Saccharomyces cerevisiae S288C: one gene and its partners. The gene in region 1 interacts genetically with each later gene. Each region holds a gene or a part of one and is shown in the gene's direction. Other genes may lie near its edges.

Region 1 (5,401 bases):
GGATATCTGTACTTATACCCTCAATATCAACATTAGTGCTTTCCGGAAACATAGAAGTTGGATCCGCAATATGAATATATAAAGTGTACAGTCCATCTCTACCATAGTTTTTCACCGACACGCCGTCATCAATCTCATGCGCAGTTTCAGAGTCTATACAAAAAACCCTAAGATCGCCAAAATCGTACCTATCGTCATCAGTGCCGGATTTTTTCCATTGCAATTCTTCTATATTAGTTAAGTCGTAGAGTTTTTGTTGCCATTTCACTAACTTCGAGGAAGCAGGTAATGCTAAATCCATGTTAAGTAACAATGGATTGGGTATTGAGTTGGGTGTTATCTCATTGATTAAATCTTGACATATATCTCTTGTGATGTCACAATCCTTATAGCGTTCTATCTTTCTGAATATTTTTGAGATCAAAGCTACTATAATTCCGTTATTGTGAAAATTCCCAGCAGCAAAATCTTTCAATAATTGGATCACAGAAGGATATAAAGCTGATATATCGCGATATTTCCTTTCATTCACCAATTTTACAAACTTATTGACCTCTCTATAACTGTTGGCTTCTAGCTTCTCTATCACCTGCGCATAATATAAATGTTGTGATTTTAAGGGAATAATCGTTACTGATATAGGCGACAGCAACGCTGTATTCAGATGGATTTCCCCCCAAAGGTTCGATTCCTGTTGTTGCATAATCGCCCAGTACGTGGAAACAAAGGTAGGTGAATTTATTGGTATATCGTTTACAGTGTGATAGTTATTAACTAAACTAGTTAAGTAATTTATTCCATTTTTATCGTCCAAGGCTTTATTTAAATCCAATTTCTGAACTAATCCGACTAGGGTAAAAAAAGGAATCTGCCATGGACCCATATAATTTTGTAATGATCTGTGGAGTAACTGTAATTTTTTGGTAGTAATGGGCAAATCTTTCCAGGCCAACTTTGAAATTTGGGCTGGATACCTACTTGTTATTAGCTGCCTTGCTACAATAGGCAAAATATTCGTTTGGTTAGAAAAGTTCTTAACGGTTCCAATTGGCAAATGTTTGTGATGGCTCTCAGGCTGTATAAGTGAATGGATTCCAGCAGGTAATTTGTGAGGAATCCTCAATAACACCCGGTTTTTGGTCGCAAAGCACATAGTTCCATCAATAGTAACAAAAGTGTATCGAGGATCCATAGTGCTACTTGGAAGACTTACACACATCGCCAATTCATTGGGTCTCATTTTTAAAAGAACAAAGTCACCAACATTTAAGGGACTTTCCATTAGCTGAACAGGTTGAAATTCCATTGGGTTTGGAGCTTTCAGTTTTGTTATTAATTGAAAATCTGAATTTATTAACTTGTAAAGCGGAATTTTTGGTTTTGTTAAAGACCTCCAGGAGTTTACGTACCAATCTTCGGAAGGTTTAACATACCTATCTTTATAACGTTGGTTAAATTCCTGTTTAATTTGAGGCAGTTGTTTTAATTCAATATCAGGCTCTAATCCTTTTGTTCGTTGCAGAAAGTCTTTGTTTATTGATTCTATATCTTTCTCCGGTCCAACCGAACGGTCTACAACTGTCTCTGTAGCTTGATCATTATCTAGCTCTCGTGTGTGATCTAGTTCTACTTTTGCTTGCTGCTTACTCTTACTTCGCTGTCGTTTGCCTCTGGTAGTTACTCTGAAGCAAGGTGTGTAGGAATGAAAGCTCCTTGCAATTAGAAGAACATGTACTTTCCGCCTAACTACCATCACCTGTCTTTATTTATTCCGCTGACAGATATGCACAACCAATTATCGTCTCTTGAAAGCTTTTTAGACGTGATTGCTGTTATTTGGCACGTTGTTAGTATTTAAGCTTATTCGGGTTTGCATTGATATTTGCCCGAGCAGAAATCTCCTTCTCGATGAGTTAGAACTGAAACATCTCTTCAATTACTTATACATAATAAACATAGAAAGCCAGGACCTGTCATCATGAGTCATCCGATTCAATTTGTAAACGCTAATAATAGCGATAAGAGCCACCAATTAGGCGGTCAATATTCTATTCCTCAGGATTTGAGGGAAAACCTGCAGAAAGAAGCTGCACGTATTGGTGAGAACGAAAAAGATGTGCTACAGGAAAAAATGGAAACTAGGACAGTGCAAAATCGAGAGGATTCATACCACAAAAGAAGGTTTGATATGAAGTTTGAGCCGGATTCCGATACACAAACTGTTACGTCTTCAGAAAATACCCAAGACGCTGTCGTGCCAAGGAAAAGAAAATCTCGTTGGGATGTAAAAGGGTACGAGCCACCTGATGAATCTTCAACAGCGGTCAAAGAAAACTCTGATAGTGCTTTGGTTAATGTAGAAGGAATCCATGATTTGATGTTTTTTAAACCTTCTGACCATAAATATTTCGCCGACGTTATATCCAAAAAACCCATAGATGAGTTAAATAAGGATGAAAAGAAAGAAAGAACCCTGTCGATGTTACTTCTGAAAATAAAAAATGGCAATACAGCGAGTAGGAGGACTTCTATGCGGATTTTAACCGATAAAGCTGTTACATTTGGTCCAGAAATGATATTTAACCGCTTATTGCCCATATTACTAGACAGAAGTTTGGAAGACCAGGAAAGACATCTAATGATCAAGACCATAGATCGCGTCCTTTACCAGCTAGGAGATTTAACAAAACCTTACGTTCACAAAATACTTGTAGTAGCTGCCCCATTGCTAATAGATGAAGATCCAATGGTTCGTTCAACAGGCCAGGAGATAATCACCAATCTGTCTACAGTCGCTGGCCTAAAAACCATTCTAACAGTAATGAGACCTGATATTGAGAATGAGGATGAGTATGTTAGAAATGTAACTTCAAGAGCGGCGGCTGTGGTGGCAAAAGCCCTTGGTGTTAATCAATTGCTTCCTTTCATCAATGCAGCATGCCACTCACGGAAGTCTTGGAAAGCAAGGCATACTGGCATAAAAATTGTGCAGCAAATAGGTATACTTTTGGGAATAGGTGTCTTGAATCATCTTACTGGGCTGATGAGTTGTATCAAAGACTGCCTAATGGATGATCACGTTCCGGTGCGAATTGTTACAGCACATACTTTATCAACACTAGCAGAAAATTCTTATCCATATGGTATCGAAGTTTTCAACGTTGTACTGGAGCCATTATGGAAGGGTATAAGAAGTCATCGTGGTAAAGTGCTATCTTCTTTTTTAAAAGCTGTTGGATCTATGATCCCATTGATGGACCCAGAGTATGCCGGTTATTATACCACAGAAGCAATGAGAATAATTAGACGTGAATTCGACTCTCCCGATGATGAAATGAAAAAGACCATTCTTTTAGTATTACAAAAATGTAGCGCTGTAGAATCCATAACGCCAAAATTTCTGAGAGAAGAAATCGCGCCAGAATTCTTTCAAAAATTTTGGGTCAGACGAGTGGCATTGGATAGACCATTAAACAAAGTTGTTACATATACTACTGTTACATTAGCAAAGAAATTAGGTTGTTCTTATACCATTGATAAATTATTAACACCATTGAGAGATGAAGCTGAGCCGTTCAGAACAATGGCTGTCCATGCTGTTACTAGAACAGTAAACTTATTAGGGACAGCAGATTTAGATGAGAGATTAGAAACGAGGCTTATTGATGCGCTCTTGATAGCATTTCAAGAACAAACAAATAGTGATTCTATAATCTTTAAAGGGTTTGGGGCAGTGACGGTGTCACTTGACATCCGTATGAAACCGTTTTTAGCACCCATTGTGAGTACGATTTTAAATCATTTAAAGCATAAAACTCCCTTGGTTCGTCAACATGCAGCAGATCTATGTGCCATACTAATACCAGTCATCAAGAACTGTCACGAATTCGAAATGTTGAATAAATTGAACATTATATTGTATGAATCCTTAGGCGAAGTATATCCAGAGGTATTAGGTTCTATAATCAACGCTATGTACTGTATTACTAGCGTAATGGATTTGGATAAACTACAACCTCCTATTAATCAAATTTTACCAACCTTAACTCCAATTTTAAGAAACAAGCATAGAAAAGTCGAAGTAAACACTATCAAATTTGTTGGACTTATTGGTAAATTAGCACCTACCTATGCACCTCCTAAAGAATGGATGAGAATATGTTTTGAACTATTAGAACTTTTGAAAAGTACAAATAAAGAAATAAGAAGATCAGCAAATGCCACGTTTGGATTCATTGCTGAAGCAATTGGACCTCACGATGTTCTTGTTGCGTTATTGAACAATTTAAAGGTTCAAGAACGTCAGTTACGTGTATGCACGGCTGTTGCTATCGGTATCGTTGCTAAAGTGTGTGGTCCTTACAACGTGCTGCCAGTAATCATGAATGAATACACAACACCAGAGACTAATGTTCAAAACGGTGTTCTCAAGGCCATGTCATTCATGTTTGAGTACATTGGTAACATGTCTAAGGATTACATATACTTCATAACACCATTATTAGAAGATGCACTCACCGATAGGGATTTAGTTCATCGTCAGACAGCGTCGAACGTAATAACCCACTTAGCTTTAAACTGTTCAGGTACAGGTCACGAAGATGCCTTCATTCATTTAATGAATCTTCTAATACCCAATATTTTTGAAACTTCACCACATGCTATTATGCGTATTTTAGAAGGTTTGGAGGCACTGAGTCAAGCTCTTGGCCCTGGACTATTCATGAACTACATATGGGCAGGATTGTTCCATCCAGCGAAGAATGTAAGGAAAGCATTTTGGAGGGTGTATAATAACATGTACGTAATGTACCAGGACGCCATGGTACCTTTTTACCCCGTTACACCAGACAACAATGAAGAATATATAGAAGAACTGGATTTAGTTCTGTGAATATATATAGAGCATATAAATAACCACAACTTGTAAGAATATTTTACTTGACACACCTATATCATCACGTCACGATGCCTTCATAGATTATGATGAAATATAAACAGAACCTGCTATTGGAAAAAAAAGGGCAGGAAAAAATTTTGTGAAAGTGAGTAAAAGAAAGATGAAGAGCGAGACATGGATAATAAGAAATAGATGTCACTAATGGACAATTGGAAGACTGATATGGAAAGTTACGATGAAGGAGGCCTAGTTGCTAATCCGAACTTCGAGGTTCTGGCCACTTTCAGGTACGACCCTGGTTTTGCACGCCAGTCAGCGTCAAAGAAAGAGATCTTTGAAACTCCAGACCCTCGATTAGGTTTGAGAGACGAAGATATTAGGCAGCAGATAATTAATGAGGATTACTCAAGTTATTTACGAGTAAGGGAGGTTAATTCCGGCGGTGACCTTCTCGAAAATATTCAGCATCCTGATGCTTGGAAGCATGATTGCAAGACCATT
Region 2 (3,567 bases), 750 kb from region 1:
CAGGCAGTGCCTATCGCCCGTTCTGCCCCCAATCATATTGGCGTTAGATCAACAACATTCGCTGACATTTGGGTACTCCAGCCCCAGGTGCTTGCCAACACCCATATTGCCTTCTATGAGCACAAATACGCCCGTCCATTGGTCACAACAGGTTGTCACTATCCCTGTCGCTGTACGAAATCATGCCGCAATGATGCCTATTATCACACCTATGACCTCCCCAAGACCTCAGTTTGAAGCAACGGCTCCCTCACCCCCTTTGGCCCCGGTCGCCATAAAGCTGCCAGATTTGAAACTACCACCGTCGCCTGTGCCCAGCACAGTAGAGGACAGAGTTTCACATCCTATCCTGCCCAAAATTGTGATCGGGAATGGCGGCGGCCGTGATGTTGAGCGAGATAGTACCGAGGAATTAATTAGGAAGATTCCAAACTACATTGGTTGTGCAAAAACAAAGGCACAATTGAGCAAAGTTAGGTCTGGTAAACAACTAATTGCATGCGCACAGGAATATCACCATCCAGTAAACAAGGACGAGATCGAAAATATCAACAACATTCTAAACTTCAGGGACTTTATTTTCAAGCATCCAAAATCCTCCTTCGAGTTCCTATGTACCCTGTCGTTTGAGCAGTTCGTTAGAGTATATTCATTCATTAGTTTCATCTACAGGACAAAGAAAATCAATAAGAACAAGTACGAACTCGTTTGTGAGATGAATGTTCACGAGCAACTCAGCAATAAGCGTATACAAAGAACAAGGACTCCTGAAAAGTACAAAATACATTTGATCTGCGAGTCAAAACTCATACTGACCTTCAACCACTGTACGAAGACAGTAAAATTTGAGTCTATCAATGGCGGGCACTGCCATCCGATTTCAGCCAACCACATTATCAAGCCCTCCCTCTTCCTTACCCACTGCATTAATAAATGCTACCAGACCGTGTCAGACCCTACCGATTTGAAATTGGCATTGAGAGACGCCTTAGAAGCCCTTGATCATGAAAGGATAGGATTGTCTTTCTTAAAGAGGAGACATTTCAAGTGCTCACACCAAGCATCATCACTCTCGAATGCCAGCGCCACATTGAAGAAACAAGAAGATCATGACACATTTGGTGTACATACAGGAATAATTCATACGGCAAATTTCTTCATGTTTAATGCATCTAGCGATATATTCCAGAGGAACTAACATATATAAATATCTGTATCCTTCTTTAAGAAAACACAATTGCATACTTTTTCCATTATAACTGACTGTTTCAGATCCTGCAATAGAAAGTATTTTTTAAGTAATGAAATAGTGCTTCCATTGATAGTAAGTGAGTAATAAGACGATCGGAAACTATTAATATAAGTATAGTTTACATATATATATATATATATGTGCCAGACGATAATATCACCGTAGTTTCCGGCCGGGTTATGCCACGCGAAAACGCCTCGAGCCAAGGGAAAAACTAAACTACAAAACAAAACAAAACAAAACAAAAACATCTACTATATCGTTTTACCCAATTCAGTATATCCGTCTACAACAGTTCTCGCCACCCAAGATCTGTAAACTTACAACTGCAAACAAACAATGAGAGAAGTTATTAGTATTAATGGTATGTTCGATTTGCCCGTCCAGGCTAGATCTTTTTTTTGTTAGTTCATTTTGGCGTTTCATCTTTCATTACTAACTTCAACGCAAAATTTTTTTTTTTTTGATTTCTCTTTACAGTCGGTCAAGCTGGTTGTCAGATTGGTAATGCCTGTTGGGAATTATATTCCCTTGAGCACGGTATTAAGCCGGATGGACATCTAGAAGATGGCCTTTCAAAGCCGAAGGGAGGAGAAGAGGGTTTCTCCACGTTTTTCCATGAAACCGGCTACGGTAAGTTCGTTCCAAGGGCTATTTACGTGGATTTAGAGCCCAACGTTATTGACGAAGTCCGTAACGGTCCTTACAAGGACTTGTTCCATCCAGAACAGTTGATCAGTGGTAAGGAGGACGCGGCTAATAATTATGCAAGAGGCCATTACACCGTTGGTAGAGAAATTTTGGGCGATGTTCTGGATAGGATTAGAAAACTGGCAGACCAATGTGATGGGTTACAAGGGTTCTTGTTTACCCATTCTCTTGGTGGTGGTACTGGTTCCGGTCTAGGGTCCTTACTGTTGGAAGAACTATCCGCTGAATACGGTAAGAAATCCAAGCTGGAATTTGCCGTATACCCTGCTCCACAAGTGTCTACTTCTGTGGTTGAGCCTTACAACACAGTTTTAACTACACATACTACATTGGAACATGCAGATTGTACTTTCATGGTCGATAATGAGGCTATTTACGACATGTGCAAAAGAAACTTGGATATCCCAAGACCAAGCTTTGCAAACTTAAACAACCTAATTGCTCAAGTGGTATCATCTGTTACAGCATCATTGAGATTCGACGGTTCATTAAATGTAGATTTGAACGAATTTCAAACCAATTTGGTTCCATATCCAAGAATTCATTTCCCCTTAGTTTCATATTCTCCAGTCTTATCCAAATCAAAGGCATTCCATGAGTCCAACTCTGTGTCAGAAATTACAAACGCTTGTTTTGAACCTGGTAACCAGATGGTCAAGTGTGATCCAAGAGATGGTAAATACATGGCTACTTGTCTGTTATACAGGGGTGATGTGGTAACAAGAGATGTTCAAAGAGCTGTCGAGCAGGTGAAAAACAAGAAGACCGTCCAATTGGTTGATTGGTGTCCAACTGGTTTCAAGATCGGTATTTGCTACGAACCTCCAACTGCCACACCAAACTCACAATTGGCCACTGTGGATAGGGCCGTCTGTATGTTGTCAAATACCACATCCATTGCTGAGGCTTGGAAGAGAATCGATAGAAAATTCGATTTAATGTATGCCAAACGTGCTTTCGTCCACTGGTATGTCGGTGAAGGTATGGAAGAAGGTGAATTCACCGAAGCTAGAGAAGATTTGGCTGCTTTAGAAAGAGATTACATCGAAGTGGGTGCCGACTCATACGCTGAGGAAGAGGAATTTTAAGGTTCACTCTCGCCCCCAACCTCCTTATCCTTTCTATATTTCAAGTATATTGTAAAAAAAAAAATTCCCCCTACTGTTATATCTCTTTGGTGATATCTTATCTATAATCTACTTATTATATTTCTCTAATATCTATGTACAAAAAATAAAAAAAAAAACCATTCTCCTTCTCTAACCTGCATTTGATGAAAGCTTAGTAAGTCTCATCGTAGTTGATGGGCCAAAGACATTTGTACTTGTTTCATCAGATTCTTACATCACCCATTTCCATGATTATTTCACGGATTTCATTAGTAATTGCATTTTTGTATCCCTAGTTCCTTTTCTCCCGCCTTGCCGTCGAATTGAAAAAAAAAATGGAAATGAGGACATCTTCCATTGATATCCAGGACAAAGCAAGAGTAGAAGTAACTATTAGCAAGGAGAATTCCAAAAATAGTGAACTTCAAGGTAAGCAGATCTATAGTTTCAATATCTGATTTTCTGCTTTTCAAAACTTAAAATTCATTAGAAGGT
Region 3 (3,881 bases), on another chromosome or scaffold:
TATTGCTTTCACAGTTTGGAAATTGCCTCTATCACCAAGATATTCACTGTTAAAAAAAAAAATGCGAAAAAATTCAAATTTCAACAGCGATATTCGCCTTCAGTATATCAATATAAAGCAATTATGACACCTCATTTATCGTGCATATAAGATCATGCAATGAGTATGGATAACAATGATGACCATGAATCTAAATTGTCAATCTTGATGGACATGTTTCCAGCTATTTCCAAATCCAAATTACAAGTACATTTACTTGAAAACAATAATGATTTGGATTTAACGATAGGCTTGCTGTTAAAAGAAAACGACGATAAGTCTACAGTTGATAATGAATTACATCAACTGTACGACATGTTTCCTCAGCTTGATTGCAGCGTTATAAAAGATCAGTTTGTAATAAATGAGAAGTCCGTAGAATCGACTATTTCTGATCTTCTGAATTATGAAACCCTGCAAAAACTTAAAGACAATCAAGCAAATTCTCCTGATAGCGTAAAAAGGAACGAAAAGAAAAATAATTGGGAATCAACAAACGATCACATAGAGAGTATAATAAAGTTTACCGACGCTCCCAAAAATATTGCGCAGGAATACTTAGCCGAAAATGGTTTTGATACAGTAAAGGCGATCATCAAAATCATTTTGGATTATTACGACAAAAGGGATTTTAAAAAAGATGTGGATACTTTCAAAGTAAAACGGAGTCCTAATACGACTGTGAGAGGTGGTCGAGTTCAATCATCGACGGGGCTTGCCCACGTTTTGAAAAAGGGTAAAGAATCCGCAAATGTTGCTCAAGAGAGTCTCAAAAGGCCAAGGAGTTATAAGCACTCCTTGGATAGTCCGCAGATGGTTGAGTTAAATGAATTAGTTGCAGATAATCGCGATCTCAAAGCCATAAACCATGAATTTTTGCAAAAATGCCTGCAATTTTATGATGGAGATGTTGTAAAGGTGTTGAACATATCGTCCTTATTGATCGAAGATGACAAGAATATTACGAAAACTTGGAACTTTGACGAAGGTTTTACCTTGACATCCAGAGATAATTGTAAGCAACATTTACCCAAATTTTCAACACCGCAGATTTCCCGCAGAAATGAGGTAGGAAATACTTATAAATTGCCCCTTCATGACAAAGAAACCCCCGAGGGAGCTGTGCCGGTTATAAATAACCTGTTTCAAACATACAGATTGGATTTCCATGGTTTTCTTCCCAGTGAAGCGGTTTCAACACTGAAACTTGCATTAAATAAGTGGTGGTCCAAAGAGGTAGCAGAACGAGAGTTGAACTCCCACAACATAAACTCATATGGCTCAAAAGTACAGTTTGTAAGCCCGTTAATCGTGGTAACTGGTAGAGGTATCCACAGCATCGGCGGGATCTCAAAGGTTCGACTGCAGGTTAAAAGTTTTCTTGAAAAAAATCACTACATATTTTGGGAAGAATCTTCCTACTTCAGAATTGAGGGTAAGAAGAAGAAATAAAACCTATCTGATTTTTCTATAAAGGTTATAAACGCTAGGCTTCTTTAAACTGCATTGGGTTTTTTCTCAATTTCGAGAAAAATAATATAACGCGTTAGAAATGGTGATGTAAATAAATGAATGTTAGAAAAATACATACGTTAAACAAATAAGTTAGACATTAGCACAGGACAGCACTTCACTCATGGATTATATGAAATTGGGGCTTAAGTCCCGTAAAACTGGTATTGATGTTAAGCAAGATATACCCAAAGATGAATACAGCATGGAAAATATTGATGATTTTTTCAAAGATGATGAAACTAGTCTTATCAGTATGAGAAGGAAAAGCAGAAGAAAATCATCGCTTTTCTTACCATCAACGTTAAATGGCGATACTAAGAACGTATTACCGCCATTTCTACAGTCATATAAATCTCAAGATGATGAAGTTGTCCAAAGCCCATCTGGGAAAGGCGATGGATCAAGACGATCATCTTTGTTAAGCCATCAATCAAACTTCCTGAGTCCAGCCAATGATTTCGAGCCTATTGAGGAAGAACCAGAACAAGAAGAAAATGATATCAGAGGCAATGATTTTGCCACACCAATCACACAGAAATTGAGTAAACCTACATATAAAAGAAAGTACTCCACTCGGTATAGCCTTGACACTTCAGAAAGCCCTTCTGTAAGGTTGACACCTGATAGAATCACTAATAAGAATGTTTATTCAGATGTACCTGATTTGGTTGCTGATGAGGATGACGATGATAGAGTAAACACTTCTTTAAACACATCTGATAACGCATTATTAGAAGACGAATTAGAAGATGACGGGTTTATACCTGAAAGTGAAGAGGACGGTGATTACATTGAAAGTGACTCATCTTTGGATTCAGGCTCGGATTCAGCCAGTGATTCAGATGGAGATAACACCTATCAAGAAGTAGAAGAGGAGGCTGAGGTGAACACAAATGACAATGAAGATGATTATATAAGACGACAAGCGAGTGATGTGGTTCGTACAGATTCAATAATTGATAGAAACGGGCTTCGGAAATCTACAAGAGTCAAGGTGGCGCCTTTGCAGTATTGGAGGAACGAAAAAATAGTATATAAGAGGAAGTCCAATAAACCCGTTCTTGACATAGACAAAATTGTCACATATGATGAATCTGAAGACGAAGAGGAGATATTGGCAGCACAAAGAAGGAAGAAACAAAAAAAAAAACCTACACCAACCAGACCTTACAACTACGTACCTACGGGGAGACCAAGAGGAAGGCCAAAGAAGGATCCAAATGCAAAGGAAAATTTGATTCCAGAAGATCCCAACGAGGATATTATAGAAAGGATAGAATCTGGAGGCATAGAAAATGGCGAGTGGCTGAAACATGGAATACTGGAAGCTAATGTGAAAATTAGCGACACTAAGGAGGAAACTAAGGATGAAATTATTGCATTCGCGCCCAATTTGTCGCAAACTGAACAAGTAAAAGACACGAAGGACGAGAATTTTGCCCTTGAGATAATGTTCGATAAGCATAAAGAATATTTTGCTAGCGGCATATTAAAACTACCAGCTATTTCTGGACAAAAGAAATTAAGCAACTCATTTAGGACATATATTACGTTCCACGTGATACAGGGAATAGTCGAAGTAACTGTATGTAAGAACAAGTTCTTGAGCGTTAAAGGTTCCACTTTCCAAATACCGGCATTCAACGAGTACGCGATTGCCAATAGAGGGAATGATGAAGCCAAAATGTTCTTCGTTCAAGTGACCGTTTCAGAAGACGCTAACGATGACAACGACAAAGAATTAGACAGTACGTTTGACACTTTTGGGTAATTATGATGTGAATATTCTCATTATGCATGCTATGTACTGAAGAAATATAACTAGGTCCATACGCTTATACTGTTAAACATGTGAACTTTTCTGTAAGAAAATGAATCACGTAAAATTTCGCACCGAACTTTCGTAGATGAGAGAACAAAAAGCAGAAAAAGAGAAAGAACAGTAAAGTAACACTTAGTTAGCATATTTAAATAAAAGTCTAAAGGACCAGCAAAGAGTTATTAGGTGTGATGACGGATGAAAAAGTGAACTCAGATCAGAATATGAACGGTAAGCAGGGAGTTAACTTAATTTCATCCTTGCCTACAACACAAGTGCCGGTTTCAATTTTGACCAACAAGGAGAGAAGAAAAAGTATTCACGATGAATCAAATTTCGAAAGATCTGATAGTCATGAAGATCAATCAAAATCCAACTCTAATAGGAGGAATATTTACAAAAACGATTATAGCACAAATTTGAGGGATTTCTCTTTTGCCAATCTGAAGCAAAATAGTGAAAGGAACAAAGATGGCCATGAAATACAGATCAACACCAGTATGCCAGC

The links.
Region 2: of HSH155 (region 1) and TUB1, changing one suppresses a phenotype caused by changing the other (phenotypic suppression), as found in Saccharomyces cerevisiae (one study listed by BioGRID).
Region 3: mutations in HSH155 (region 1) and MIF2 impair growth when combined (synthetic growth defect), as found in Saccharomyces cerevisiae (one study listed by BioGRID).

The regions. Positions count from the first base shown.
Region 1 is NC_001145.3:843,593-848,993, forward strand, and holds HSH155 (U2 snRNP complex subunit HSH155), read left to right. Parts: upstream 1-1,978; coding exon 1,979-4,894; downstream 4,895-5,401. Other genes in the region: DSS1 (exoribonuclease II), read right to left, coding at 1-1,753; aminodeoxychorismate lyase ABZ2, read left to right, coding at 5,093-5,401. UniProt on the Saccharomyces cerevisiae protein: Contacts pre-mRNA on both sides of the branch site early in spliceosome assembly.
Region 2 is NC_001145.3:97,425-100,991, reverse strand, and holds TUB1 (alpha-tubulin TUB1), read left to right. Parts: upstream 1-1,591; coding exon 1,592-1,616; intron 1,617-1,732; coding exon 1,733-3,051; downstream 3,052-3,567. Other genes in the region: YML083C (uncharacterized protein), read left to right, coding at 1-1,198. UniProt on the Saccharomyces cerevisiae protein: Tubulin is the major constituent of microtubules, a cylinder consisting of laterally associated linear protofilaments composed of alpha- and beta-tubulin heterodimers.
Region 3 is NC_001143.9:271,719-275,599, forward strand, and holds MIF2 (Mif2p), read left to right. Parts: upstream 1-1,675; coding exon 1,676-3,325; downstream 3,326-3,881. Other genes in the region: CUE2 (Cue2p), read left to right, coding at 160-1,491; phosphopantothenoylcysteine decarboxylase complex subunit CAB3, read left to right, coding at 3,565-3,881. UniProt on the Saccharomyces cerevisiae protein: Component of the kinetochore, a multiprotein complex that assembles on centromeric DNA and attaches chromosomes to spindle microtubules, mediating chromosome segregation and sister chromatid segregation during meiosis and mitosis.